4 linked regions of the Oreochromis niloticus genome follow. The protein of the gene in region 1 purifies or fractionates together with the protein of each later gene. This does not show direct contact. Links are inferred from orthologs where the notes say so. Each region holds a gene or a part of one and is shown in the gene's direction. Other genes may lie near its edges.

Region 1 (7,583 bases):
TCCCAGACCTCAACAGTGAAAAGAGTCCAATGTTGGGACGGGAGAGGTCCATCACAATCTTCCTGGCTTTAGTCTTGCACCGCTTGGTGTAGATGGACAGCAGGTCAGGAAGCTCTGATCGAATGACGTGTTTGGCTGAGCGCACCACTCTTTGCAGATCTTGTCTGTCAGATATTTCCCATCAGGACGCTCTGGTTGGTGCAGAAGTAGAAGTTCTTAAGCACCCTCATTTCAAATACAGCGCAGTATTAGCACAGTGACATCACTCGTGGAACATTTTATAAACCTTATGAGGTTTATAAACCCTAGTGTTTACGCATTATGAAGGAAAGCAGGCTTTTAATGTCTCTTGTCATAACCCTGTAACTTCCCAAGAAACCTTTGTTGGTTTATAGCAGCTTTGTAGTCATTATTAGGTTGTTTCATTAGCGTTAGGATGCAAGGCAATGCCATCAGAACAGAATGAACAAAAAAAAAATAACTGTTTCTCTACAGAAAATGGATAAGAACAAAGATGGCGTGGTGACTTTGGAGGAGTTCATTGTAGCCTGCCAAGAGGTCAGTATTCTTCTTCATGTGTTTTTGTCAAATGAATAGTTAAAGAATTAAAATATAATACTCACTCATACACACTCATTAAACCTGACCCAACAAGAAAAAAAGCAACTAGTTTCTTACTTCAGCTTGTTATTCTAGTCGTGAAACCACCACTACACTTGACTCAAACAGCCTCTCCTCCTCATTCATAAAGTGGTCTACGAACACTAACATTACGGCTAACAGGTGGATTCTCGCATTTCAGTGCAGCTAGCTAACAATGAAAAGCCACTTACTGTTTGAAAGACAGAGAGTGAATGTGAACAGTATATCCTGTGTTATTTAAGCATAAAACTAAAGTGACACTTTTAGATTGCTTTTTAGTTTTTGTTTCTTTCTTTTCCATTGAGTTATTGGTTATTTTACTAGTCAGCTAAAATAATTATTGTAAGTCTATCAGCAGCAACCAACTAACGCAGTGACATTATGTTATGTACTGGTGCAAGATGGCACTATACATGTTCTAAAAACTTTAAACACTTATTTTTTTTAAATCCAGCTTCACAGACATTGTTAAATCTGGCCCTTTTTTAGAGAAGGACTCAGTAGTGTATATTAGCCTGAATACATGCAGTGTTAAAAGTGTAAATAGGCCCACATAATTTCACCATTACTTAATTTTTTTATGTCAAAAGTCGCACACAAGAAAAACCACAATCCATCAGATGATTTCATTTCACAGACGGAGGTATTCAAAATAATTCCATACACTCTTTGTCTCAACAGGATGAAACTATGATGAGATCCATGCAGCTGTTTGAAAACGTCATGTAGAACAAGCGGAGAGGGTGGAGACAACCACATGGAAAAATGAGAGGGCTGAATGTGAGTGTGTGTGGATGCATATGTGCAGTACATCCAGTCTCTCCTCCTCCTCCTCCTGTTTTATCCAGCTGTGGTCAGGATATAGGCTGAATCCCCCACAATGACTTGTATGAAGGGACTGGACTGGGATGCTCTTTAGTGCTCCTGACGAGTTTCGTCACACAACACAAAGTGACTGATGTGACAGACATGGATTTTAACACATTCGTCTCTGTTCTGTCATGAAGACGAAGATTGGCCTGTTAAAGATGAAGCTGCTCATCCATTATGAGGCTGCTCCTGACCAGTGAAGGGCGATGTGCTCAAGAAGCTGAACATTTTATTTTATTTTTTGCCAAGAAGCAGTTGGGGTTTGTTTGTTTATTTGCTTTTTTTTTTTGGTTGTTTTTTTGCCAAAGTATGATTGCATGCTTGTTTTATTTCCAAACTTTTTGACAGATTTGACCATAAGTAAATCTATACTTGTGTCTCATGCATCTTGTGGTTGACAGATATGAGATATTGCAAATGTTGTACGTTGGTTTCACTGATGCGGTGACCCTTGTAAATTTGTGATGACCTGGATGTCGCTTGTGTGCTGAGTCTGTGTTATGCTCGTCTGTCCAAAACTTACAGTACAAGTCAAATAATTTTAAAGCAGCACATTTCCTGGGTCTTACATGGTGTGTGTGTGTTTATCTTTTCTTTTCTTTTTTAGTGAAAAAGAAACCGATTCATTCTTTTTTCATATTTTCATCTGCTGCTTTCCTGCTTGTGGTCAAATTGGTGTATTGTCAAAAATGTTTTTTAAAAAAAAAGATTGAAAAAAAAACATGAATACGTTTTAGACATAATTATGAAATACCCGCAAATCAAAGATGTTGAAGAAGAGGCTTATTAGATGTTTATTTGCACAGATGACAGGTAATCGAGGCGTGAGTCTCAGATGGAAACAGCGATGTTACAGAAGAAGTTTTGTCCAAAAGACATCACTGTGTCAGAAAAAGCGAGACGTTTGCTGCTGGTCCATTCCAGCAAAGAACTGAGAAAGCTTCTGATAATCTTGCAGGGAAAACCCGCTGAATGTCAGCTTTGGAATGTGATATGACACTGAGGACAGCTCCACTTGTAATAATGAACATTTGGCACTGTGTCCTCCATCCAAACAAGGACAGTGATGTCACACTGACGTAAACGGTACACAGAAAATAGGTTTTTTCTGCAGCAGTAGCCCGCTGAAGGTTTCCTGTGAGTCGTGGTGTGTTTAAATGCGCCACCATAATAGAAAACTCGCAAGACTATCGTAGTTTAGGCACTAAAATATTCATTGCTGTTCTTTTTCGCAGTCATTAGAGAGGCTCTTTTGCTGCACCGTGCGACCGTGTGACATCGCAGCCTCAGGTCTCGGAGATCTTATTTTGGAATCAGATTATTAAATCTCACCAACAGGTTCATTCTAAGCCATATGAATAAATGTGTCAATTCTTAAATTTGACTGGTGTGCCTTTTTGTATGCTTTTAAAAAAAAATGTAATGATCATTAGAGCAGAAACCTACATAAATGAGTGAAGAACACAAAAACACAGTGCAGGCTCTAAGGAGTCACTGAAAAATTTAATGAGTATGAAAACTGTGTGAATCATATGCCATGACATTTGCAAGTCCTCAGACTTGAACCTGTTTTGGTCATGTTAAGTTAATTAGATTTTTCTCTCTTCTTACCCGTCTGTATTGATTTAGCTCAACTATTCAAACTGGGGAAAAAATCTGAAAAAAAAAAAAACATTTTTGGTGAAGAAATTGCCCATCTATCAACTATTTGCTGCTAACTTCTTGGCATTTATATTATAAGTACAGTTCTGTGCAAAATTTTAGATCTTAATCTTTCTTCATGGTGATCAAATTCTTACAGTACTTTTCTGCATTCCTAATTTCATCAGTTATGACAAGATCCCAACATCTAGCAACATCGAGCCCAAAACATGACAAAGCTGCCTCCATGTTTTACATATGGCTGTAGAGAGTCACTGTTGGGTCTCCTGACGTCTTCCACAAATGAAATTTCAGGTTTGTGTCAATCACTCCATAAGACCTGTTGCCACAGATTTTCAGTCAAGCTCTTCTGTAACTTGGCACACCTCAGACTCTTATCCCTGTTTCACTTCCCTGAGAGTGGCTTTTCAACAGCAACCCTTCTACTGAGATCATTTCTGATGAAGCATCAGCAAACAGCAAGTAGATCAACTGATCAACTGGTTAAATCCATCTCTCAGGTCCTGTGTCAGGTCTTTGTTGGATTTCTTTTTCTACTTTCAAATAGTGTCCATGTGCAGTAGATAGTTTTTTGCTACTTCTTTGACTTTATGTCTTGAAGGACACACTGCACACTATATGGCAGGGTTTTTTTTTGTTTTTTTTTGGCTAATAGCTGTTTAGAAATTACCTTGTGATGAAAAAAAAATTATGCCTATCAAACTGTGTTACCTTTGGCATTTCTCATAGACTGACCCAACAGGCTACTATGACAGGCAACTAGTAACAAGGTGCCAAAAGAGAAAATTTAAAATTGGTTCTTTAAATTGGTTCAAGCTTCATCCCTAGAGTTAGGTGTCCTAACTCAGTCATTCTTGAATGACTGATAGATCAGTGTTGAGTGGCTTAAAAAATAACTTTGAAATTAATTTGTTATTGTAGGGTCTTTACATTACATTACACCTTGTTGCTATGATTTGGCGTTATATAAATAAAATGGAAAAAAAAAAAAAAAAAAGTCAATGTCCAGAATGAAACTTCTTCTTCAGAAGATACCCAGAAAAAAATACAAGAAGGTCTGGCTACCTGGAAGTGAACTATAAAGAAATAAGGAAAGGCTCAAGACGTTTTCACTCTGCTGACACCTAGAGGCAGATTTTCAGCTACAGAACAACATAATAGGTTTGATGCGATCGTAAAATTAAAGGTTTATGTAAAGAAAACATCTTAAATGACTGTAGTATGCATGGGAAAAGAAATGAAGGACTATAATGTTGAGCCGTATCTCAAAATGACCGTAATTCCTAACAGTCAATGCGCTTTTGCGCTTTTCCAACACAAACGATGGAGCTAGCTGCATGATGCCCTGTGCATCCTGTAGGTGGCAATGTGGGCTGATTTTCTTTACTCCGTGCCTCATTGAGAATAGAAGAAGAGCGGGAGCGCTGTAGCACGTTAGTTAGTGGCTGCTGGTACCATTTGGTTAATCTTCTACAGCATATAAAGAGTTTGTCAGCGTCCTCGTCTCCAACATGAACGGGCTGGATGAACCAATGGCACCACAAAACTTTCTTTACGGTGAGAGCACCACTTTGTTTTATGTGTGGCTTGAGGTTGTTTTATATTCTGTGTTCTCGTGTTTTTTGGCGTTAGCAACAGATACATTACATGTAGCATGCTTAGCTGCACGTGCCTTCTTCCAGACGAAGACAGTGGACCTGTTTGTATTTAAAACATTTAAAATGTCTTGTGTTGTTAGTTGTTATGAGTCGTGGCAGGAGGTTGAATGAGTCCTGCTGAGCTGCTGTGCTTCAGACCACTTTGCCACACACGTGCTTGATTATCAACATGGCGGCCCCCGTGATTTATTAACTGAGTTGATATCTGATCAGTTTCTTTAAAGAGTTAGCGCTGCTGTTCTATTGAAACACCTGCTTTTTTAGATGAACTGTCCCCCTGACGCTCTTCTTCGAGCTGAAAGTTTTCTGCTGGCCGGGGAAATTGGTCTCAACGTGGCTTCAAACACACGCGGACCGCGTTGACCTCCTCCTGCGACTGCATTTTAAGCCACCTCAGATCTTAAAGAGTGTTTCTATTCTTCATCTGTCCTTCTGCCCTCTTTACTCACTAAAATTTAACCTCTTCTCTTAGGATGGATACTTCAGACACCGTTTAAACAGCAGATACGTTCACAGTGTACTGGTTTAATGAATTGAAAATAGAGAAGTTGCAAATTCTGAGGTGATTTAAAAGAGCAAGAGCTAAACATTTTTTTCACACACAGAAACCAAGCCAAATCCTTCCAAATCGTCTTAATCTGATAATAGATTGTTCCAGATAGGTGATGATTATCCAAAGCTCTGCAATTGGCTTTTAACCCAGGTTAATTGAAATGCCATAGCTGTAGAGGATGCATATTGGAATATTAACATGGCACGTGTCTTTGCTAGGTGTTTCAGAACTTTAGCATAAGTTTTGAAGTGATTTTCAGTTCTCCCCCTTTCTTCATTTGAGGGGAATTCCTGCTGTTGCCATGTGACAACGTTCACCCCTTGTTCTGTAGGGCTCCCTCTTGTGTGCATCTTGAATGTAGCGCTTTACACCTAAGTGGTTCTACTCATTTTCTACATTTGTATTCTTTTAAAATAAATCATTTTATTGAAATCTCTTAATCAGGGTGTGTGCTGGAAGCTGGAAAGGAAGTGGTCTTCAATCCTGACGACGATGACTTGGAGCATCAGCTGGATCTGAGGATGGTAGGTGTCTTTGATGCAGTTTGTTCATCCCTGTATACTTGAAGCTCTTACCATCGGGCACACAGAATGTAGAAAATGTAGTGCAAAGCGTACAGAAAATTCTCATATTTCATTGTGTCCCACACACTGAGCACATTACTTGTGTTTTGTGAAGAGAATGATGCAGCCAAGTGGTACTGTGAATACCAAATCGTTGGTTAACATTTTCAGTTTGAAATTTCTCACCACCAAAACGTCAAATGTTCTGTTGTCTTTAGGTGTGTGTGGACCCCAGCACAAAAGATGAACTTCATATGGTGGAGGTAGAAGGGCAGGACGCAGAGGGTCAGAAGGTCAAGGCAGTTCTGGTTTCACTTAAGCCCTCTACTTTGCCAAGTGTAAGTAAACTTTCTGCTTGAAAACACACCTGGGCGAGCAAATGATTTCATGCTTTAGTCTTCCTTAGCCTCACATGTAGGGGCTTCTGTGCTGCTACCTCAGGAAAAACTGCTCTGTATAGTCTTGCAGCAGCTGTCTTATGTGTGTTTTGTTGCAGGCGTGTCTTGGTGGTTACACAATCACACCCCCAGCAGTTTTCCGCCTGAAGGCAGGTTCTGGTCCGATCCATATCAGTGGACAGCACCTTGTCAGTGAGTATTCATAATTCTGAGACTGTGGTGATAACCCTCAAACAATCAAGACCCCTCGTAGCACAGCAGACTGAGTAATTTTTGATTATAAATTCCTTGTAAATTGTCCCCGCAGTGATGGATGCAGATCAGTCTTTTGATGAAGATGATGAGGATGACGACGATGAAGAGGAGGAAGATGTCAAAACATCAAAGAAAAGGCCTGCTGCTTCCCCTGCTGCAAAGTCTCAGGTTTGTTTGGTTTTTTAAATCGGTGTTAGTATAAAGTGTAAACTTGTCACTGTAAATCACATGACTGACTTTTAATCTCCTTCACAGAAAAAGATGAAAATGGAGGTGGAGGAAGATGATGACGACGACGATGATGATGAAGAAGACGATGATGATGATGAAGACGACGACGATGATGAGTGAGTGTCTGACCACACAAATGCAGTGAAGTCCTTAAGTTGACGTCCTCATGCGAACAGATGGTAGCTTTGCATCTTTCCTCCTCCTGCCTTTTAAAGAGCTGATGACTGTCGGGAGATCAGTTGTTAAACATGGCCAGCTCTGGGCAAAGTGTTATTTTATATTTGGGTCACTGCACTGCTGGGAAAAGAACGTACTTCTGCTCATCTTGCCGCCAGCATGTGTAGCTGGCTTTAGTTGAAAATGGCCCTTTTTTTTTTTTTTTTTTTTTTTGTTTGTTTGGTTTTTTTTTTTTTTCCCCGACCAACTGAAATAGTGAAAATGAAATTCATGGCGAAGGTCAGATGGCTTTTGAACACCTGTCCTATCATGTTTTATAAGAGCTTATTTAATAATTAATAATAATTATTTATTAAATAATGCTTAATGGAGCTTTCTTCATAACATGATAAAAGCAAAACTTGTAGGAAACATCTAAAAACTGGTTATATTATTTGTAGCCACAACAGTGTGCAGTTAATAGTTACTGTCATTATGAAACTAGGGAAAAGGTTTTCCGGTCCATGTCAGACTTTGCATAACCCATGTCCATGCTACAGAGGTAGCCCCTCGTTTAGAAATAAGGTCCTCGATT
Region 2 (7,127 bases), on another chromosome or scaffold:
GAGAGAAGAGGGGGGTTTGGAATGGAGAAGTCGGCGTTTCCTTTCCTTTTCGTGTGCAGCGCAAAGATCGTCTACAGCGCAGCTTTACCGGACATCCCAGTGGCTCAGAAAAATCTTTTTTTAAGTGTCCACCAAAGACCTGAGCTTCATTATAAAGATTTTTAAGTAATATAGCCCAATAATATCACATAGCTTCAAAGGGATTCACATATTTGAAAACTTACATCTCAAACCAGGCATTTAATCAAACAAGCAGCCTATCAGAAATATGCAGACACACACACACACATAATGCACAAGTAAAAATAAATCAGCAAAAAAATCCAGCAAAACATAATCAAAGAAATATATAAGAAACAATGTTAGTTAACAAAAGTAGAAGGAAAATTTGATACTAATCAGGAAGGCATGCAAATGGTCTTTATCTGCTAGATTACCAAACGTGGCTGAGCTCAACAGGCACGACTGTGCACTGCTATTCCTATGTTCATTATTTGGTAAAAGGACTAGTAAATAAAAATGTGTGCTTTAAGAGTTTCTTGAAATGATCTGTTTGCTTCCCTAATATTTTGATGTTCCACAGTTTGGGGGCATTAACTGTGAAAGCTGATAGCTCAAAGTTTGGCAGTGTAAGATCTAAGAGGGCGAGTCGGTTTGTGACAGACTTTTGGAAATATAAGAAGGTCCAAGACGAATTAGGATTTTCTATTCAGGTAAGAGCACTTTAAAGGTGGCTTATATTGTTTATCTCATGTCGATAGACTAACGCTACATGTTAAATAGGTTTATTGTGTTATGTTTCTGTATAGTAGGTAGATAGACACATCTTATAGTTTGAGTTGGTGCAAAGAATATTTATATATACACAACAGTGATTACAAATTAAGAAGATAAAACTGAAGCTAAGTTAAAAAATACAAAATTCAGACTCAGATTGTGCAAAAGAGTACTTCAAATGGCATTAATAAATAATATATACAGAATAGATCTAAGAAGGTATGTGGACTCTGCTGTCCTGACAGGTGTGTTCACCTGTCACAGAAAAACAGAGCTGTTATGCTGTTTTACAGAGAGCAGTAGGAATGATTTCCTGAAGCGTTCTTCATTCAGTGAGGTTGAACACGTCTGAGGAAGAATGAGCTCTGCTGCCTCTGTAGTGTGGAGCAGAGCAGGTGTGATGGGGCATGATGGAGAGCAGTTTGTTCAGTGACCTCCTGTTTCTCACTGACTCAAACGCCTCCAGATTCTGGCCAGTGATCCTGTGGAGCCTGCTGCCATCTCTGGCACCGATGCTGTCCACCCAGCAGTCAACTGCAAAGTAAACAGCGCCCTTGCTGCACACTGAGCTTCGTCAGAAAGCAGAGTCTGCTCATTCCCTGCTTGTACACAGCATCCCTGTTGGTCCTCCAGCCCAGTCTGCCATTCAAGTGAACACCCAAGTACCTGTAGCTCTGCTCTGGAAGTCAACCAACTCTTTTTTGTCTTGCTGACATTCAGCAGAGGTTATTTCCCTGCACTCCGACTCCTGCCTTAATACACCCACCCACTGCAGTGTCATCAGAGCACTTGTGGTGGAATGTTGCACACCTCAGATTTCCAGGACAACAGTGAGAAGTAAACAGGAATGGAGACAGGACAATCAGCTGTGGTCCCCAGTACTGATAACCACCACATCAGACATGGCACACATAACAGACAACCAAGTGAAGAAGCAATTTCAGATTCTATCTTCAGGCTCTTTGTTACTAATAGCCTGTCACAAAAACACATTTATTCCCACTCCCATAATGGTTTGACAGGAATATAAGTTACTCTTTGCAACAACAAGCGGATTCCCAAAGAGCTATTAGCTGCAACCACAGCATACCTAAGCATGATGTGCAGTGTGTCCTTAACAAATCTGAGTAACCTGGACAAGTGACGGGCCTAAAAACTGTCATGAAATCCAGAAAAGACCTGACACAGGACCTGAGAGGTGAATCCTGGACCTTCAGATAATTCATCTACTGTTTACTGAAGCCTCATCAGAAATAGTCTCAGTGGAAGGGTGGCTGTCAAGAAGTAATTATTAAGCAAAGGAAACTGGGAGAAAAGGCTGAGGTCTGCCAGATTACACAACAACTGGACTAAAAATCAGTCAACAGGTAAGGAAAGAAACACAACAGCGAGTATCTGTCTGTAAAACATGGTGGAGGCTCTGTCATGGTGTAGAATCAATGTTGTTGGGGATCTTGTCAATGCTGATGAAGTAGTGCCATCAGATTTTGACCCCCCATGCTACATCATCTTGAAAGTATCTGACTGGAAAGAGCTTCATTTTTCAGCGCGGCAGTGATCCCAAACAGACTGCCAGTGCAGTAAAATCATACCTGGATAGAAAACAATGGAACATCATCAGTCATGGATTGGCCTCCCCAGAGCCTGAATCTCAGTATTACAGAAGCATTGTTGGATCATCCTGACAGAGAACAGAACAAAAGACAGCCAACATCCAAAGAAGAGCTTTGAATGTCCTTCAAGAAACCTGGAGAACTATTTCTGAAGACTAACAGAGTTCAGGCTGTGTTAAATAAAGGTGGTCGTACCAAATATTGACCTTCAAGCTCTTTAGAATTGTACAAACTCTGTTTTTACCTTATATTCCATATTTCCATGTGAGCTGCCATGTTTCAGTAAAATGCTGCACCTATTTTGCATTTTTAAGCAAAATATAAAGAAAGACTTTCGCACAGGGCTATTTCATCATCAGTGCAGGGGGAAAGCTGACACTGAGGGAAAATTCTTTAAAGGGCTAACTTCCAAAAATGTTGTCGTGTTTTGGTTTTTTCTGTTCTGGTACTGAGTTAGCCGATACCGAGCCTGCGCTAAAGTCTGATACGGTTCTCACTGAGGCCGGAGGAGCAGAGCCAGAGGATCGAGGCGGATGTAAACACGAGCCGCTCTCCGTCAGCGGAGTGATACCTCTTCGCGTGTTTTTCTCTCTTTGAACCTAGCGCTGTCACACAGGGCTCCAGCCCCCGCCCCTCCTCCCCCCTCCTCTTACTCTTCCTCGCTCGCGCTCGCAGCAGGTCGTCCTGATTGGTCCATACTGCCCGTGGGTGCACGCGGATCCACTCGTGATCAGGGAGAGTGGGCGGGGTCACGGGGTATTGTTGTCCGCTGATTGGCTGCTTGTCGCTCCGCGCGGATCACAACAAGAATGTTTTTCATACTAGAGTCAGTGCTGTCAAAGCAGTAAGTGCGCGCGCGCGCGCGCACACACACACACACACACTCACATATGTGAATGATAAATAATAATTATTTATTATTAAATATTGTTTTATTAAAATGTAACCAACTTCAAGTTACAACGCTATAAAAAGTTTTCTGTTTATTATAGAATAATACAAATAACACAACCTTAAATTAAAATAAACATTAGACACTTTCTGGCAACTTGAAATATTAATAATAGTCAAAGTTTATCCAATTTAATGAATAAATAATAAATAAATCCAAAGAAACAAAGAAATTGTAATAATAATGAAAATGAAAAAAATAAAACAATTAATTAAAGCCACAAATACATAACAAAAATATTTTTAAAAAGTAGATTGCCATAACACAATATCTCAGTCACATAAAAGATAATCTGAAATAATAAAAATGACAATCCCAAAAAATTACCATGAATTCAAATAATAAAAAATACAAATATTTCAGACTTTCTGTTTAATATATTTGGAAAATCTAAAAAAAAGTTTTTAATATTCTAAAGAAAACTCTGCTTATGTAAATAGCAACACTAAATGAATGAATAAGTTTCTTTATTGTCACTGTGCAAAGTACATTGTGAAGTAATAATATGCATGTAAATAAATGCACACACTCACATATAAATAAATACACACCTACATGTGCATGTGTATATTTAAGTTGTTTTTATGTATCTCATACTCACACAGATAGATAAGATAAATTGTTATTGATAAAAGTTGTTAAGCTTTTGTGTCTCTTGAATAAATGTAAATGATTCAATAAAATCAGTATTTTTGCTTTTGATGATTTGGATTTCTTGTGGTTGTGTCTGTTTTTGTTGTGTCTGTGTCCGGACGCCAGGGGGCGGTGTCCAAAAAACACACACAAACTGTTTTCCGAGTCTTTTCCGGCTGTAGCGGAACTCCGGGCTTTCTTTCCCCGTGCCGTCAGCGGACCACAACGTGTCCCGACAAAATGGCACTTTATAATTTCAAGAAGATTATGGTGGTTCCCACCGCCAAGGTAAGTTTTACCTTTAGCTAACATCGCGTTTTAAAGGGGCTGAGGTTCGGTCCGACTCGCCGTGGGAAATGGCAGGAGATAAAAGATGGTGGAAAAGAAAACACGTGCCGTACTGGGCTGACGAGAACGCAGCATGTTTCAGAAAAGCAAACTTAAGACAGAAAACTGCTACACTGAGTCTGACATGTCATTATATGTAAATAAACAGCCAGTAATAGTCTGTTTTAGCCGGTGGTAGCTCTAATTTTCGCTTTCAGAACTACATTCACAAATCTGGAAGTGCACGTATGTGTGTTTTCTCACCTCTGTATAAGTCTAAGGCTGTTTGTTTCATACGTTTCTATTTCCTGTGAGCAGAGACACTGTTACTCACTTCGGCAGGTATAAGATGCTCTCATAACCTCGATGAAAACAGGCCTAATGACTCGTGTGGCTGCAGTGGTGTCAGTCCTTTTAAACACCACGTTGTGGCGGCCTACTATGAGAACAACGTCATGAAAGACTCTGCCTTCTTTCCTCAAACAGTTTTTTCTATATAACTTGTATGCCGAACTTTAAAAAACACTATAATTGGTGGTAAGCGTCATATAAAATTGTGTTATAAGCTGCTTGACTTGGCCGGTAGCGAGTAAACATTAAACTGATTGGTTTCTCAGGGATGTCTGGCTGGATTCTAGGAAAACCGATTATATGAGGTTTTATGGGCTGAATTACAGGAAAATTGAATTTTCTTGTACGTAATGTAACGAGTCAAGTATCGATAAATATAACCTCAAATAGCCAAATAATTAAAGACACTAGAGCCCAAAAATAAACACAGTTTTTCTGATGATGTTGTATTGATTTGTTTGTTTGTGGTGATCTGTGGCTGACCTTTACCCTGTTTAAATCTGTGCAGGATTTCATCGATGTCACTTTATCCAAAACCCAAAGGAAGACACCCACGGTGGTACACAAACATTACCAGATTCACCGTATCCGACACTTTTACATGCGAAAGGTGAAGTTCACCCAGCAGAACTACCATGACCGCCTCACGCAGATCCTCACCGACTTCCCCAAGCTCGACGTAAGAGAAGAAACTTTGAAAGAGACTCCTTTCATTTAAATATCTGGTCAAACTCGTATGATGCTTAATGTTACGTGATGTTTTCCGTCTCCTCAGGACATCCACCCTTTCTATGCTGATCTAATGAACGTCTTGTATGACAAAGATCATTACAAGTTGGCCTTAGGACAGTTAAACATTGCCAAGAATCTGATTGACAAGTAAGTTAATCTAAAATCTATTGCTGGTTATTGTTGTGCTGTGAACACTGCTTTCAGATCCATGCTCTGCTTCGTTCCTCCTGATGTACAAATCTGAATCAAAAGCCTCTCACTCTGTTTGCTAGATGAGTTGATGGATGTAAAGCTTTGACATCTTCTGTGGTGTTTGCATACAGTGCATGTTTTGGAACCTTGGAAAAATATTTGTGCGAGGCGATAAGATATCATGTGTCCAGTATGCTGACCATTTTCTTAAAGACTTTGTTACTCGGTTTATTTATTGGAGGCTTACCTTGAGAATGAGAGTCTGGTTTCAGTGCATTTATGTGAGCTTGGTGGGTATGCTGATGCGCTCAATAGGGCTACTTTTTCGAATGTCCAAGTTTGCATTAGACCATTCAGATTAGCAGCCACTGCATTGTTTTTCATGCATTTATATTACACCTTCAGAAACTTCAAGCTACAGAACAGCTGTGATTGGCTCCTGCAGGCACAGGCACTGATTTATGGAGCGCCTGTTATGCTTTTGCTTTGCGTTCTATTGCCAGTGCCTTTACATTAGATTAATTGTGCAGCCCTAGTTACATCAGTGTGTTACTTCAATCACATGTAAGCACCGGCAGTTGTCAGTATTTTTCTTCCGGTCTAGAGCTCTGACTCGTGAACATAATTTATTTTTTATTGCACAAAGAACAAGAGGATGATGGCAGAGTGCAAACATAAGCAACTGTCTGCCGCTGCTAACAGGATGTCAGGTCCTTGCAAGCATCTGCAAGACAGCATGCAAACAAAATGCGAAGAACCTGAAGCTGAGCGTAATCAGACCTGCAGTGCAGCAGCAGGACTTAACGTTCTACCTGTACATATTTCTACTGTTGAATGTGTCGATCGCTGTTACGTGCTTCTCTTTGGGCTGGTTTTCAACTTTGCTGTGAGCTTAGTGTTAAAATTAAAACTGTAACATGATCACACACGTCTCCTGTGTGTCCTCATAAGGTTTATATTGTTAAGTAAAACTATGTGACATTGTTTCAAAGTAATGCAACAAGTAGTGTAATGAATCAGTTTCTCCTGAGGATAATCAAGTAATTTTATGCATTACTTAAAAAAAAGTGACTTGTACTACATTACTTTTCTGAGTAACGACCCCAACGCTGGTCTAGACTTACTCTCCTATAACAAAGGAGTGAAGAGGCATCTTTTGTTCTTTCAGTGTTGCCAAAGACTATGTGCGCCTGATGAAGTATGGAGACTCTCTGTATCGGTGTAAGCAGCTGAAGCGAGCGGCTCTCGGGCGTATGTGCACCATCCTGAAACGGCAGAAATCCAGCCTGGAGTACCTGGAGCAAGGTGAGGAGGAGGAGGAGAGTTTAGGCTGTGATTGAGAATCTGAATCTGTCCAAAGTTGTACTTTTCCTTTTAGCTGAGAGGTTTGAGTAGTTCAGTCTGTTTCTCCTGTCTTCATACGTAACCCTTACTCATCTTTCAGTGCGTCAGCATCTGTCCCGTTTGCCAAGCATCGACCCAAACACGAGGACCCTGCTTCTGTGCGGTTACCCCAACGTGGGCAAGTCCAGTTTCATCAACAAGGTAAA
Region 3 (7,112 bases), on another chromosome or scaffold:
AAGGCTAACTCATTTCAGAATGGTAATAGGTGAGAAAGAAATTCTTGAATTGTGAGTGTCAGGAGTGTCTGAAGATATACTGGGACAAGCCTCATGTTTTAACTTCGCTTTGTTAAGGAGATATGATGATTCAAATATGCCTCTCATTACAGAAATCAAGCTGTGATTTTGAACAAGCTCTCCATTGACTTTCTATGGGGATTTTTGAGACTTTGTGTTGGTCTGAGGAGATTTGCCAAAATTCTATAAATCTCACAACAATGATGGTGACATTTTCTGAAAGCCAGCAAAAATACCTACGTTTTGATGTATAATTTGTGGAAGTTGAGTGAAAATTGAGCAAGTAGCAAGAAGTTGTTCGGACATGAAGAGAAGACTGCGAAACCTACAGTGGCACACTGGAAGCCAAGTGCATAGCAACCATAACAACGCATGTATTTTCTGAAAAATCACAATTTTGCAACTCAAAACTTTAAGAGGCATAAAAATAAAACGGTAAAAGATTTGAAAAAGCTGATTTATTCCTGAATAGCCCAATAATTTGAGAACATTTTAAAGTTTGAATGGTTGTTCTACGTGAAAGTAGGAAAAAGTAGTTAAGTTTCAAAAACAAGCAAGTTTTAGCAGAATTGCGGAAGTTTCCCATTCATTTCAATGGGACAAATTAAAGGAAAAAAGTGTAATATTTTAAAAAGTATAACAGTTAAAAATATCAAAAGATATAGCGTACATTAGCAGAAATAGCAGAATAGTTTAAAATTTGAACGGTGAAAATCGGCTGAAAATTGTGGAAGTAGTTAAGTGCCAAAAAGTGTACGGAACGCAACTAGAATAATAATAATAATAAAGAATAAAGAGAAACAGGAAAACAATAGTGTGGATGCCTTAAAGCATCCACACAATTAAGATAATAACTGTAAAATGAATCAGCTTTACCTCTGAGGATGCGGTAAGGTCGCAATGAAGGATATTCATAGACTATGATGTTAGGCTGTTTTCCCTTCTCTGCTACAACGAAGTACTCCTTGCCAGGGTGGGCCTTTAACCACACACACACACACACACACACACACACACACACACACACACACACACGTCTGAGAAAATGCAGTCATCAAGTGATTAATTATGCAACTGAACCAAATGCATTTTATAATAAGGGGTTGTAAATCTTCCTGTAAATACTGCATTAAAACAATTGAGGTATTACGTGTATGTACCTCAATCATTTCTGCTTGAAAACTGTAGGTGCATAAATGTACACTTCTGCAGGAAATCTTTGGAGTGCCTACGATATAACCTACTCGCCTCTGTCAGTGCGCCCCAGGGTGGCTGTGGCTACAATGTAGCTTGCCATCACCAGTGTGTGAATGTGTGTGTGAATGGGTGGATGTCTGGATATGTAAAGCGCTTTGGGGTCCTTAGGGACTAGTAAGGCGCTATATAAATACAGGCCATTTACCATTTACATAAGCAGCTGACCAGGTTGCTGGCATTTATCCTGGAGTTTTACATTTGATGCTAGCCACACTGTTAAATTATAAAACTAGAGCAGAAAAGTTGCTGGAAATGCATAGGAGGAATTTGCAGTAGTAAACAGGTCAATCATATTAGTTGCGGGCTGAGTCAACATGATGTGTAGTTACATTTCTAGAGAGGTGCATGCTGGGTTACACCATGGGCTTTCAGAGGAATTTGGGGTTACGATGTAGTTATGCCGTAGATTTCCCGCTAAAGCTTAAATCCCCAGTAGCATTATTTATCTCCTCAATGTGCCTGCTGCCAGTCACAGAGATTGCAGATTCTGTGGGACAGTTCACTTGCATGATGAGTAATTTCCCTTACCGTGATTGCTCCGATTCCCCCTCCACTGCAGGAGCGCAGGTATCTCTGCTCCTTGGTGTTCACATCGAGCAGGACGAGCATGTTCCCCGCTATAAAAATCAGAGTTCTGTCATCCAGCAGCTTCAGGTTTGCCCTGCGTCCACAGTCATAGCCAAAGGAGTGACTGATTGCATCATTAATTAAGGATATCAAAGTTAAAATTCACATCAGTGTTATAGAAAAATGTTTTTTTAGCAAAAGAAAATTACAACTGCTTTTTTATAATAATGTATCAATATACTAATATCTCTGTTCCACATACTGTTTATACATACTATTACTTTAGAAGCATTAGTATTAGCAGAGAAATATATGACACATACCATAAGATAATGGCACTATAATGCTACTCTATTAAACAATATTACTGCTTAGTCTATACTACATATTACATACAATATACACAACGCATGTTTAAATGTACAGTATATTATACTGAGCATTCATACTTACACATACACTTATATAATACAAGCTAAACATATAATGGCTGCAAACATAAGCACAATATAGAGTTAGGTAGTGTTTATAACATATTTAAATAAAATCGTAGGGTCTTTACCTTACAATATAAAGTGCCTTGAGGCGACTGTTGTTGTGATTTGCTGCTGTATAAAACTTAATTGAATTGAATACATAAAAGCTGGAGTTAAAAACTACTCAAAATAAACTATGTGCACTATTCTTATAATTGAACATGGGAATGTGTAAAATATTTTTCAGCAAAGGATACGAGAGATGCAGGAGGTTCTCTGGGATTTCAGAATCGGGTGTGATGTACGGTCTGGAGTGAAGCTCTTCATATTTGTAGTACATGTCTGCAGGGAGTTGCTTTTTTGATTGGCTCCCAGCCTCCTGCTGCATTGCTGAGTGCTTGGTATCACATTCTGCGAGGAAGGAAAGATGTGAAAACAGTTTTTAGTCGCTTGTGACTTGTACCATTTAATTAACTTTATTTTTCCAGTATTTTAGCAGTCATAACTTAGGAACTACAGGGGATAGCCACATTAAATTTTTAGTGCTGAATCACATTTATGTATCAATTTTACACCCACTCCAAGTGTAACATCTACAGCCAAGACCTTTCCTCCAGGACACTGTCTTCACAACTTATTTTCTGATTCAACCCAGCAACCCCTTCTTGCTTTAAAGTGATAGTGCTACCACCTCACAACGCAAACTTTAGCATTGTGAGGTGGAAAACTAAACGGAAAACTCGGATATCAGGTATTGTGAAATGGTTATACTGAAACTGGGCTTTACGTGGTGCATGACATAAAATGATCAGCAAACTGCAATAACAACGAAGTATCTAAAACTGATTGGGTTTAGCTTGGTACCTTTATTTACCCCAAAGTTGGGAGATTCCTTTGCTACATTAGCCAAAACTACTTAATACAACCTAGAACAAAGCTTAGATAGGTAGAATGAGGACATTGCTGTGTACAATAAAATTCAATATATCAAAATAAATGTCTCAATAAAGTAAAAAGAGAAAATGAGAGAAAAATACAACATTTTAAGTTCAAAATGTAAATATGTAAATTTAAAATATGAAATAAATTAATAATTAATAATAATGGATTTTCATTCATTAAAAGTTGCAATAAAGCGGGTTAATAAAGTAAATTAAAATATCTGACATAAAAAAAAAAACAATTATTAATTAAACTTGGGGGAAAATAGCATTAAGCTGCCTGACCTTCAATGTTTTCCTGTAAAGATGTCCGTGTGCTTTCAGTCTGTTCACTAACAGAAGCTCCGTTTTCTCCCAACATTTCCTGTTTGTTACCTGCTCTGTGAAACACACACAGACAGTCTATTATTCAAAGGTATTTATAGCTTGAAATGAAGGAAGTTAAGCTTTAGAATACGATAATACACAATACCACCAGATGGAATTAAAGTCCTATCGTCTGGATACGGCTCTGTAAAGTCTGTTGCTACGTTGCCGGGCAACGGCAACGGAGTTGCAAAGCCTTGTGGGTTATGTAGTTCTCAACCGTTGTCTTGCGTTTTTTTAAGTAATGGGTCGTAATTTTAAAGAAAATGACATGATTTTTTACAAACATGATTAACTTTAATATCAGATTAAACTAACTTGATTTTTAAGGAATTTTAAAGAATGTCAATTTCTAATTCACATCGATGTAACCACAGTAACGAGGTCTGCCCCTTTAAATCACAGTCTGTAAACAAACATGGCCGCGTTATAGTGGCTCCGAGCTCCACAAATCGAAAGAAAGAAGTTCACTTTTTGTCGGTACACTTTGGAACTGCACAACCAATTAAAGTGTTAAATATTGGTAGCTGAAACTAATAAATTTATCGGTGCGGCGTTTTTTGGCGATAATGAATTGTCGCAACAACCAACGTTTTACGGCAGTGGAGTTTAAGTTTGATTGGACGCTTTGTACCGTAAACCGTGTCGGTTATAGAACACATGGGACGGAGCTGAGGTAGCGTGTGCATCTGAAATGTGAGTTAACTGCTCGAAAAAATCATGTTTACGTCGTTATGTTATAACAAAATGCTATTTTTATTTGCGTAATAACAGTTGCTAACTTGTGTTATTTATGTTATTTGCTAAGTAGCTTGGGTAAAAGCACCAGAAGCGCTTTATGGATCGAAAACACACTTTAAAACTGTTATAACTGATGGAAAAGTGGTTCATTAAAACTAAAATTTAAGCAGAGTGTCGTCATTAACAGCACGGGAAGAAAAAAGGCTTGGTGTAGTTTCTTGTCTGTGGTTCTAGATTAACGCCTTAATAATTTACAAAGTGAGGAATAAAATAGTTGGCAGAGCCAGTAAGTGTATCACAGGGAAAGTTCCCATCTGAAAGTCTTCTAAAATCCACATGAATCTACTTCTGATGTCCTAAATGTGAGACGTGGAGAAGGTTTTGAAAAAACTGTGTTCTTGTCTCAGAAGCTCGGCTTTCTGTTTATTTTTATTCTGAAGCTAAAAGGCCAGGTCAATGTTTCTAAAGCCAAAATTGGGACCCCCCCCCCCCCCCCCCCACTTGTATTGTCGTCTGGTACAATGATTGTATTGTCAGATGAAGGCACTTTTGAACTTCACACCTACATTTATTGCTTTGCAGAAAGCTTCAATAGCTCATAACTTAAATCCAATTAGAATCAGAGAAACATTATCGTCAGACACTTTCGCCCAGTCCAACAAAGCTTCTCACTGCCTCGGTAAGATGATAAGGAATACTTTATTTTTCCCATATTTGGTTATTTGTTAAAGCAGTTTAAATAATGATCAGATACTACTAATATTTATTATTATTATCAACACCTGTCAGGTGCTTCAGATATATTGCGTTATAGAGGGTGATAGCATAGCAGTTTTTAGTTCTCATCAGTTGCAATCACAGAACCAGTCTTCCTGATTCCAGTTCGTAGAGTCTGTTATTATCACCAGCTCTAGTGCTGCTTCTCCTGCAGATCACAGCAAAGTACACTGTACTCGCAGTAAGTGATGGATAGAAAATGTCATCATCACTTTGCTGCACACAGTGAAGGATTGTGGTGCCTGCTAAGCCTCTTGTTGTATACAGCCTGAGTGTGACAGCATGAGCGGTCACTCAGTGGTTTGATGAGTATGAAAGATATATTGATCACATGCTAGCCATAGCCAACAAATTTCAACCCAGATAACCGCTTGTGGGAGATTGGCGTTCCATCCTTTTTTTTTTCTACTTTGATTTGTCACCTGCGTGTATGTGACTTGTTAATCTTCCTACTCTTGTCTCACTTTCTCTTTCAGACACACATTAGGATGGAAACTCAATCAAAAAAACCTTTTTCTCCTAAAAATGGGAAGAAGTTCATGCAGAAAGGAAAAGGAAAAGGTAAAGCATCTTTTACAACAATGCTTCCACGCTTCATCACATCAAACCAGTTTTGTGATTGGGTTGTCTCATTTTGCCCAGATTCCACAGGGACCAAATTTGGTGGAAAACCAGGCAGCAAAAAGCCCTTCAAACAGTACAACAACGCAGAGAGGAAGAGCCGACCGGGGAAGGGCCGGGATGGTGGCAAGAGAGAAACAAAGTTTTCTTTCTCTAAAGGAGGAAAGAGGAAACTGACAGATGCTAAAGATGAAGGAGGAGAGGGTGAAGGTGAGGAAATATCTTCTCTTTCCAGACCAAATCTGACACTGCCTGTAGACACTGGAGTTGGTTGTATATCATGAACTGAGCATAATTAACACACATACATTCTGCACATATACAGCACGTTATCAGCTCACTGCTTTTTAGTTTTAGAGTAAAAATAAATAAATACATGAGACGGACTCTATGTGCTACAGCGTGGATAGTCTGGCTGCTGAAACGACACATTCTGCTCTAAATCACTGATTCTGTTTTCGGCTCCTCCTGAGAGACTTTCTGTTAGAGGACGGCCTTCAAAAGCAAAAGTTCTGTTTCCTCTTTTGTGTGAGATCAGGTCCTGTGGCTAAGAAGGTGAAGAAAGGTGGGTTTAAGCCAAATGAGAAGCTCACAAAGGAGGAGCTGAAGAAGAACAGGCAACAGAGAAAGAAGGACCTGAAGAGGAGCCGACAGGAAGCTGAGAGGAAGGACATGTTCGAGATCATCAATCAGTCCAAACATATGTGGGGAGACCTCAGGAGGTACATGTACACACAGACTCACAGGGTTGGAGACAAGGCCGTCGTTTGTGTTGCTGCGGTTGGTTCAGTATCGGATGTTTGTGTCAACAGGAAGAACTGCGAGAAAGACCTGAAGAAGAAACTGCTGAGAGAGCTCCGAGACCTGATCCATGGAAAAGTCAAACAGGTTCGTCTGTTTGTTAGAAACTGCACATTTGGATTTTTTTTATTTTTAAACCTGTCTAACTTTTCTTTAAAATGAACCCATCCTCAGATGACCATATAATGGACATCCACTCTTGTTGACATCATACAGAGCCAAGAGTGGGAAAAAAACCTTCCTGAATCCTGATCATTTGGCTCACAGGGATTACTTGTACATACACTAGCCTAATCATATATGACAGAAAACAAAAACAAACGGGATAGGCTCCCATTAAGATGTACCTTTTTAAAATATAGTTAGGGTCATATTCTCTTAGGATTGATTATCATGTCTGCAGTTGACTCAGCAAGTAAACAAGCTTAAAAGTGGACACATGGAACACAAAACATCATAAAAACAAAAGAAAACCAGCAGATTCTTGGATTTTGTCTTTATTTTA
Region 4 (7,845 bases), on another chromosome or scaffold:
GTTCTTTACAGTAATTCACAACCTCTTCCATGCTGTCGCACCCTAGCAGCTGTGCCTGAGGCATACACAGTCATCAGAAAACATTTTAAGATATCTGTAGTGGTTAGAGACTGTTGTCATACCCTCGAGGCTCATTCTGAAGGTAGGTGAGGAAATGTTTACAGGATAACTGAGATATGCGAACAGTGATGGGAAAATATACAAGTTACCGCAATCAGCACAAAATGAGACTGTGAGCTCTGACACATGGTTGTAAGGAAATACCGATTTGCTGCAATTTTCTCAGTCCTGATACAAACATATAATTGAGCTTTTGTATATTATTATATTGATATTGGTTTACAGAAATCTGCTGACTATCAAAATCCTGAAAGCAGAAGCAGAAGAGAAACAGCAGCAATGTTTTACTCTAGTTTAGTAAACCTTAGTGGAAAAACACAAAAACACCTGTTTTATTTGTCGCTATCTGTCATTCACCTGGCCCTTTTTCAGAGTTTCTACTCATTTTCTCAGATTTTTTATCCGATCTAGTGCTCAGCTGAGATAAAATGATTTTTACATTCATGTAAATGTTGAAAATAACAACATCAACAATGCATTTATAGACTCAACACTGGAAATACATTTTCAGTATACTGGATGTAGAAAATGGACGGATGGATGTGAAAAGTACTTAAACTTTAGGAGGTTGATTATCAGATACTGTGGCGTCTCTGAAAAACAAAGCAACAAATCAGAGAAGTTTGACTCCCTACTATAACAAAAACGCAGGCCTTAACACAAATAACTCATAAGCATGGAAGGAAAAGTTGATGTTCTAATCTAGACGATCTTTGTTTGGCCTGGAAAATAAGTCTGTTGCTCTATTAAAAGAAAAAAACAACAACAACCTAAGTTTGTTTGTTTCAACACTGTAGCCAGGCTGACTTCATGTGATACCTGATGTAAACAGCACATCTTCACCACTCAATTTTTTTCCATTCCCAAGTCTTTGTATAACATTGCCCCACGTCATTCATTTGTTGTCTTCTTACTTCATTACTTCGTGTATTGTCCTGTTTCCCTGTCCTCTTTTCTTTTCTCTTTCAGCCCCTCCCTCACCTTCTACCCAACCAGTTTGCTAGATGTTCCATCCTCTTAAAAGGGGGTTTTTCTTTCCCACCGTCACAAAGTGCTTGTCACAGGAGGGCTGATTGATGGTTTTCTCCAGAATCCTGTAGGATCTTTCCTGTACAGTATAAAGCACCTTGCCCCGACTCCATTGTTATGATTTGGCAAGATATAAATAAAGCTGAATTGAATTGGATTGAAAACACTAAATAATTTCTGGAAAAAGAAAAAGAAAGACACAATTCTGCTTTTTTAGTCAGTTACATTCATTACTGAGAAAGTTTTAACGGTTGTCTGTTCTCTGTCTTCACCATTGCATTTATCAGCACTGATGAAACAGTCTAAACAGAATCTTGCAGCTACAGGGTCACGTAGTTGAACATGCCTCTAATTAGTATTTCTGAGCTCTGGCATCTATAGCTTCGAGCCAGACATTGCACAATGTATCCCCGGTGGAAACGCATTTGATTTTTTTTTTTTTTTGACTGTGTCTGTGACTTTTAAACTCTTATTGCCCCTACTAGCCTGTGAGAGTGTGTAATATAAACACTCTCTGATGACAAGAGGCCATTCCATCATCGACAGAGCCACAATTCTAGTGTAGTGACTCAATCTATCTAGACAGGAAAGGCAGAATTCCTGGAAAACAGCAGCTTTTATTCCCTGCTGATGCCATTAGGTTGAAACAGAGCACACAAATTCCACATTGAGGGATTAGCAACTTCAGATAACTCAAAACCACAAATGCAAACTCACACTGATTGATTGCTGTGATCCTCAGTGTGATATAAAGCGGAGCATTATGTGAGATAACAGTGGTAAGATAACAATGGTGTTTGATTATTTTTTTTCTGGTGATCTAAAGACTTTTTTTCACCCATCTAGAAGGTGTACACAACACAGCCGATCACTAGAAATTCTATGTGGACTAAAATGATTTTTTCACAAGTGCAGAGGTGTAATATTAGCTGCAGTGCGTGATTGATTATCTGACTGAAGAGGAGATAAGTGATCACAAGAACTGACCAGCTATCACAATAAACAGGCACTCAGCTGGATGAGACTGCTCATCAAACATGTATTCAGAGCGGGAAAATGAAACACACAAAACTGCAAAGGACATTACACAGACTTATTGTATATCCATTTCCTGTACACTTAACCAAAATTACTAGTTGCCCTTACAATTATGGTGAATTTAACCTAATCAGCACTTTTTTAGCCTTAGCACTTTTTAAAAAACTATCTAAAGAGGATTAAAGACAAATTTAAATCCAAAATAACTTCAGTACGGAACGGAAAAAAGTAAACTGTGCTAGTAAACGAGTTATTGTGAAAAAAATAAATAAAAACCCAGAGGTCATAAAAATGATTTATGATACAGTTTTTGCCTGCATTTATGAACAATAAAAGCCCATTAGATTGGCCCCATAGGATTTTATATGCCATGGAACACTTTGGCCTTAGACTTATTCATACTTAAGGCCTTGACTTGAATTGTTTATTTGTTAATTGTATGTTTTTACTTCTTTTTTTTTAAGGGAGGATGGGTCAGCTTATAAGTAATTAACAAGCGATTTGCTCCACCTAGAGAAATAGGGAAGTTACTCATGCGATGCTCTCTGACAAGGTCACTGGCTGATAGATGAGTCTGAGCAAGGGGATCTTTTGGAGACTGTGAAAGCAGGCAGAACTGTGGGAACCAGACAATTAGTGGGTGGAAGGTAGGCAGCCATGTTGGATGACAACCATGAGACTGGTTTACATGGATACTCATCACTTGGCTGGTCGACAGGGAGAAAACAGACACCTGGGCTCAACCAGCTATTACGACACAGTCATTTATCTTTGAGGAGGCTGAGCAGGCAATTTGCCAGCAGTTTAGCATGAGAGCGTGTGCAAGTTCCCTTCAAGCAAATAGGGATGAAGTCAGTGCAGACATTTAACAATAAATATTGTTTCCAATTAGTTTTAGCAGACATATACTGTGGGTAGAGGAATATTAAAGATGAAGCATGAACCAACACCTAAAGTTCTTATTTGCATTTTAGTCCTTTTTGAAGTTTTTCTACAGCTACAATGCAGTCTTTAAAAAAAAAAGAAAAAAGTAATAGTTACAAGATAAACACATGAAAACGATCACTTTCTGTTCCCCCGAGAAAGATAACAACCTACCGTAACACAGACACACACACACGTACACACAAAGGAGAATTGGAAATTACCCTAACACATGTCCCTAAAAGAAAATTTTAATGAAAAATCTTTGGCAATGTCTACCATTATTTCACAACCTTATACGGGAACAATGCTTGACAAAAGCAGAATTACAACTAGTCTTTCACAAATTCTGCTAACAAAAACAAACAAATGAATAAAAGAGGGGGAAAAATACACCCTAAGACACATCAGTGTAAGTACCTGAAAAAAGTGTGATAGCTGCTGCTAGCCTATTTTCTTTCTTCTAAAATCATCTATGCCAGTTTAGATTTATAATGATATAAGACACGCTAAATCCCAGTTTAATACATGTACCAGGTACGGGCTCCTCTGAGTTAAAAGGTTTATTGCACTCCAATTTCAGTGCTATTTTCAGAGCACTGTTCGACAAATATGATAAAGACTATTAAGCATCATAACATTCCATGACACTTTAAAGACCTTTTAAAGAAGACAAAAACAATGTCTCACATGCACCTGGAGCTTCAAAGCACACAAAACTCTTATTCTGGACTTGAAATACACCAGGCACTTGACAACAGCTGTTAATCAGATAATGAAAGCCTCGGCGTTACACAAGCACACTTGTGGAGAAATGGCTATAAATTCTTTGCCATGACAGCTCACAAGGGCAGGGAGAGCGTGAAGCTGGGATATGGTACCAGGCACTTGCCTTCCCAACAAGATGACGCATCATACGAGCACTATGATGAAACGCTTCTTCAGCCATTTCCCCTCAGTCCACTATTTTGAGCTATTTATCCTCAATGCAACAGATTTAAGTTCCCTTTCTGTAAGTGCTATGAGAAATAACTGACTACTAGCCAGTGATGATGCAGTGTCATGGGTTTCCATAGTTTCCGATTTTGTGAAAAATACACAGATCCTAAAGGCAGATGAGGTGAATGTTGGAGCTTGGAGTTGAATAAGACTCCAGTGTCGTCACCCTGTGCTTAGATGTCAGTAACTCGACTCCATGGTTTCAGGGTGACCTCCTGCTGCACTTACCCTCTTCACCTCAATCACCAAGTGACCTGCCATTGTAACAATACACAGGATCCCACATGGTATAGGGGCCCAACACGTGCACCCATAGGTCAGCGGGTGTATGGTGAAGAACACTGCCCTCTGACACTGGCGGTGTTTCCTACTTTGGAGAGCTCTTGGCCAGACCTTCCATGGTGGTCTGCAAAGATGGACTACAGCTAAATCAGATAACCTTTCACGGGGTTCAGGTTCACCTCTCATCCAAGACATCCAGGGATAATCCTCCAGGAAAGGAGAGGAATACATAAATTAGAGGCAATGGAAGCCAGAGGAAGTCATGACAACTACAATTTAGGAGTTTTCACAATATATAAACAATGATGGACAGGAATCAGATTATAGTCTAATTCGTGTCCATTAGATTAATGCTCGGCGTATTTAAAAGTAGCAATAAGGACATTACACAAGCGCCAACCAACAGCCTTCGATTACGGCTACTGTGGCTTTAACAAAACATGACCCGGAAGAAGAATTTTGTCGCCGGCACAGTCTCCTTGTTCTTTTCCGGTCAGAGCTCTGTAGTGGTGCGAGCGTGGATTTCATCATCTAGGCTCACAAAATCACAAGAAAATGAGCGTACCAGCATTTATCGACATAACGGAAGAAGATCAGGTACAATCTACGTTTACAATAACTCGTTGAGTAGATATAAGCGTTATATTGTCGCGGATGAGTCGCTAAATGATACCCAATCAAAAAACTTAGCATGCTCGCTAGCTAAAATGCTAACCGTCGGTCGTAGCAGCTGATATCTGCACGCATATGGTTAGGATATGCGTGGTAAAACATTTTAAGTAAATATGTTAAATATCCTGTCATCCACATTTTCTTGTAGGTAATTTAATAGGTATATTTTTAAGATCATTGTGCTTGGGGTTTAGCGTGTCGTAAGTTTCTTTTGGGGCTTAATAATAGCTAATGTTGCTAGCTGTTTAGCCGCACATCTAAACAAACAAAGGCGTAAAAATTCTACACACACGATTCTACAGGCTAGATATAGATGGGATAATACCTTCACTCCAACAGTTGCTTGTTGCTGTCCACTATAGATCTACAGTCCATATTTTAGTCAGCCACAACAAAGAGATGCAAGAGTATAGATAAATAAAGTCGTCCATACCTTTTTCTTAAATATGATGTCCACTCTGATGCGAGCACGTAACTTGCCACTCTTCGTTCTCTTAAATGTTGAAATGCTCTGTATTTATTGTGTATTTTATGTATTGTTTTTAATGTAAATGTATTTTGTACTGCAGGCTTCAGAGCTGAGAGCCTATATTAAATCTAAAGGAGCTGAAATCTCAGAGGAGAACGCTGAAGGCGGTCTTCATGTAGATCTGGCTCAGATCATCGAGGCGTGCGATGTCTGCCTTAGAGACGATGATAAAGGTAGGCAATGAAGAAATTGCTGCTCCTTTTTGATTAGCTCATCCTCTTCATCCTCACCTCAGGCCTCACCTCCTGAACTGAACTCAGGGCTCTAATGCACAAAAACATGCATAAAACTTGTAAACTCTTTCAGGATATTGTCATAGTTCCTTGTTGTCAGACCATCCCATCTTGGGGACAACAAGCTGGGTATAACAACACCATCTGGTTACAACATAATGTTATCCATGAGTGTCTTAAAAGTCACACTTTCCCTCTGATAAACAGTTTGATTACATTCTCACATTGTATGAGTGTTCATTTGATTAGTGTCAGAGTCTGACAACATTAGCGCCACTTCATATACTTTGTCTATAAAAACATTTTTGTACATAAACAGTAGTGGAAAAACACCGCCTGTCCACGTTTGTTGTGGGATGCAGAGGGTTAAGTTAACTTGTCTGGTTAAATTTGCTGTCTTGTTAAATGTTTGTTTGACAATTAATGCCCTAAAATTGTGCAACAGTGTCTTAATGCTCATGGCCCTCTATGTCTCTCCACAGATGTTGAGAGCGTGATGAACAGCATCGTGTCTCTGCTGTTGATCCTGGAGACAGACAAGCAGGAGGCTCTTATTGAAAGCCTATGTGAGAAGCTTGTGAAGTTCCGTGAAGGAGAGAGACCCTCCCTCAGAATGCAGCTGTGAGTCCCATCAGGTCCTTTCCCTGAAGACTTTCAAAATAAGAGGTTGCTTATTTAATTGCAATTATGTAATCTCTTTTACTTTCTGGTGTCACAGGCTGAGTAACTTGTTCCATGGCATGGATGAGAACACTCCCGTGAGGTACACAGTCTTCTGCAGCCTCATCAAAGTGGCCGCCACCTGTAACGCCATATCCTTCATCCCCACTGACCTTGATCAGGTATATACATTCATGGTGATTAATCCGTATGACTGGCCAAAAACACTATAATGCAGTGCCTTGGTTTACTGAGCTAGTAAAACAATATTTCAGCATTTTCTTTTTGCCCTTTGTAATTAATGTATCATATGTATTTGTGCCCATAATCAGGTGCGCAAGTGGATTGTTGACTGGAACCTGAACACAGAGAAGAAGCACACACTTTTGAGGCTGGTATATGAAGCACTTGTTGACTGCAAGAAAAGGTAAATCCACATAGGGTTTCTTTGTGCAAAGATTACTTCAAGAGAAAAGAAAAAGGACAAGATAAAATTTGGACATAAGACTGTATGAAAATGTTCTGCATAGAATATCTCAGAAGCATTTTCAACAATATAAGTATTTATTTTATAGCGAAGCTGCAGCAAAAGTGATGGTTGAGCTACTTGGAAGTTACACAGAAGACAATGCTTCACAAGCACGCGTTGATGCCCACAGGTAAGCTTGTAGAACTTGTTGAACGCTTGACATTACACTTCAGCATTGTCCTCCTCAGCAGTACATTAACGCGTCTGTCTGCCGTCTCTTAGATGTATCGTCCGTGCTCTCAAAGATCCCAACACTTTCCTGTTTGACCACCTGCTCACCCTGAAACCTGTTCGCTTCCTCGAGGGGGAACTCATCCATGACGTAAGTGCTAAAGATTGCATAGAGCATTTATAATTATTTATTTATTAGGCTTCTGCCGCCATGACCCGGCTGCAGATAAGCGGAAGAATATGGATGGATGGATATTTATATATGTAAATGGAAACATCTGCCCCAATAACCCTCATCACAATTTGCCCTTCAGTGCCTGTCATACTCCACAAAGCACATAAAGCATCAAACAAATTTATTTTTATAATGCTGTGTCATGACAGTACAATCCACGTCAAACATGAGACTGGTTATTAAGTTTGAGTGATTCACTTGAGGAATCTAGAACATTTCTACCTGTGTGTGTTCAGTCTATGACAAAAAATTATTCAGGGTGCGTCTATAGTTTTCGACAATCTGACGTAGATAATTATAACAATTTTTAGCCTCTGTGAACAAGCTGATTGTACATCATACAGTGGCATTTGACCGTCTTCTCCCTCTTCTTTTTCAGCTATTAACCATCTTTGTGAGCGCCAAATTGGCAGCATATGTCAAA

What was found.
Region 2: the proteins of npm1a (region 1) and gtpbp4 purify together in Homo sapiens (affinity purification with mass spectrometry; 3 studies listed by BioGRID and IntAct, counting the BioPlex papers as one, with this or other methods). This does not show direct contact. The link is inferred for Oreochromis niloticus from reciprocal best matches to the Homo sapiens genes NPM1 and GTPBP4.
Region 3: the proteins of npm1a (region 1) and pum3 purify together in Homo sapiens (affinity purification with mass spectrometry; 3 studies listed by BioGRID and IntAct, counting the BioPlex papers as one, with this or other methods). This does not show direct contact. The link is inferred for Oreochromis niloticus from reciprocal best matches to the Homo sapiens genes NPM1 and PUM3.
Region 4: the proteins of npm1a (region 1) and eif3m purify together in Homo sapiens (affinity purification with mass spectrometry; 3 studies listed by BioGRID and IntAct, with this or other methods). This does not show direct contact. The link is inferred for Oreochromis niloticus from reciprocal best matches to the Homo sapiens genes NPM1 and EIF3M.

What each region holds. Positions count from the first base shown.
Region 1 is NC_031975.2:8,472,821-8,480,403, forward strand, and holds the start of npm1a (nucleophosmin 1a), read left to right. Parts: upstream 1-4,567; 5' UTR 4,568-4,685; coding exon 4,686-4,731; intron 4,732-5,829; coding exon 5,830-5,909; intron 5,910-6,166; coding exon 6,167-6,286; intron 6,287-6,444; coding exon 6,445-6,538; intron 6,539-6,653; coding exon 6,654-6,769; intron 6,770-6,856; coding exon 6,857-6,948; intron 6,949-7,583. Other genes in the region: kcnip1b (Kv channel-interacting protein 1b), read left to right, coding at 496-558, 1,324-1,371. UniProt on the Homo sapiens protein: Involved in diverse cellular processes such as ribosome biogenesis, centrosome duplication, protein chaperoning, histone assembly, cell proliferation, and regulation of tumor suppressors p53/TP53 and ARF.
Region 2 is NC_031982.2:30,875,284-30,882,410, forward strand, and holds the start of gtpbp4 (GTP-binding protein 4), read left to right. Parts: upstream 1-4,112; 5' UTR 4,113-4,215; coding exon 4,216-4,263; intron 4,264-5,161; coding exon 5,162-5,332; intron 5,333-5,428; coding exon 5,429-5,532; intron 5,533-6,745; coding exon 6,746-6,882; intron 6,883-7,021; coding exon 7,022-7,122; intron 7,123-7,127. UniProt on the Homo sapiens protein: Involved in the biogenesis of the 60S ribosomal subunit. Acts as a TP53 repressor, preventing TP53 stabilization and cell cycle arrest.
Region 3 is NC_031972.2:32,304,667-32,311,778, reverse strand, and holds the start of pum3 (pumilio homolog 3), read left to right. Parts: upstream 1-4,100; 5' UTR 4,101-4,363; intron 4,364-5,661; 5' UTR 5,662-5,673; coding exon 5,674-5,746; intron 5,747-5,827; coding exon 5,828-6,016; intron 6,017-6,344; coding exon 6,345-6,528; intron 6,529-6,618; coding exon 6,619-6,694; intron 6,695-7,112. Other genes in the region: cfap44 (cilia- and flagella-associated protein 44), read right to left, coding at 937-1,039, 1,846-2,008, 2,618-2,771, 3,587-3,662. UniProt on the Homo sapiens protein: Inhibits the poly(ADP-ribosyl)ation activity of PARP1 and the degradation of PARP1 by CASP3 following genotoxic stress. Binds to double-stranded RNA or DNA without sequence specificity. Involved in development of the eye and of primordial germ cells.
Region 4 is NC_031965.2:24,244,716-24,252,560, reverse strand, and holds the start of eif3m (eukaryotic translation initiation factor 3 subunit M), read left to right. Parts: upstream 1-4,834; 5' UTR 4,835-4,947; coding exon 4,948-4,989; intron 4,990-5,633; coding exon 5,634-5,766; intron 5,767-6,308; coding exon 6,309-6,447; intron 6,448-6,544; coding exon 6,545-6,668; intron 6,669-6,818; coding exon 6,819-6,913; intron 6,914-7,061; coding exon 7,062-7,145; intron 7,146-7,237; coding exon 7,238-7,337; intron 7,338-7,800; coding exon 7,801-7,845. UniProt on the Homo sapiens protein: Component of the eukaryotic translation initiation factor 3 (eIF-3) complex, which is required for several steps in the initiation of protein synthesis.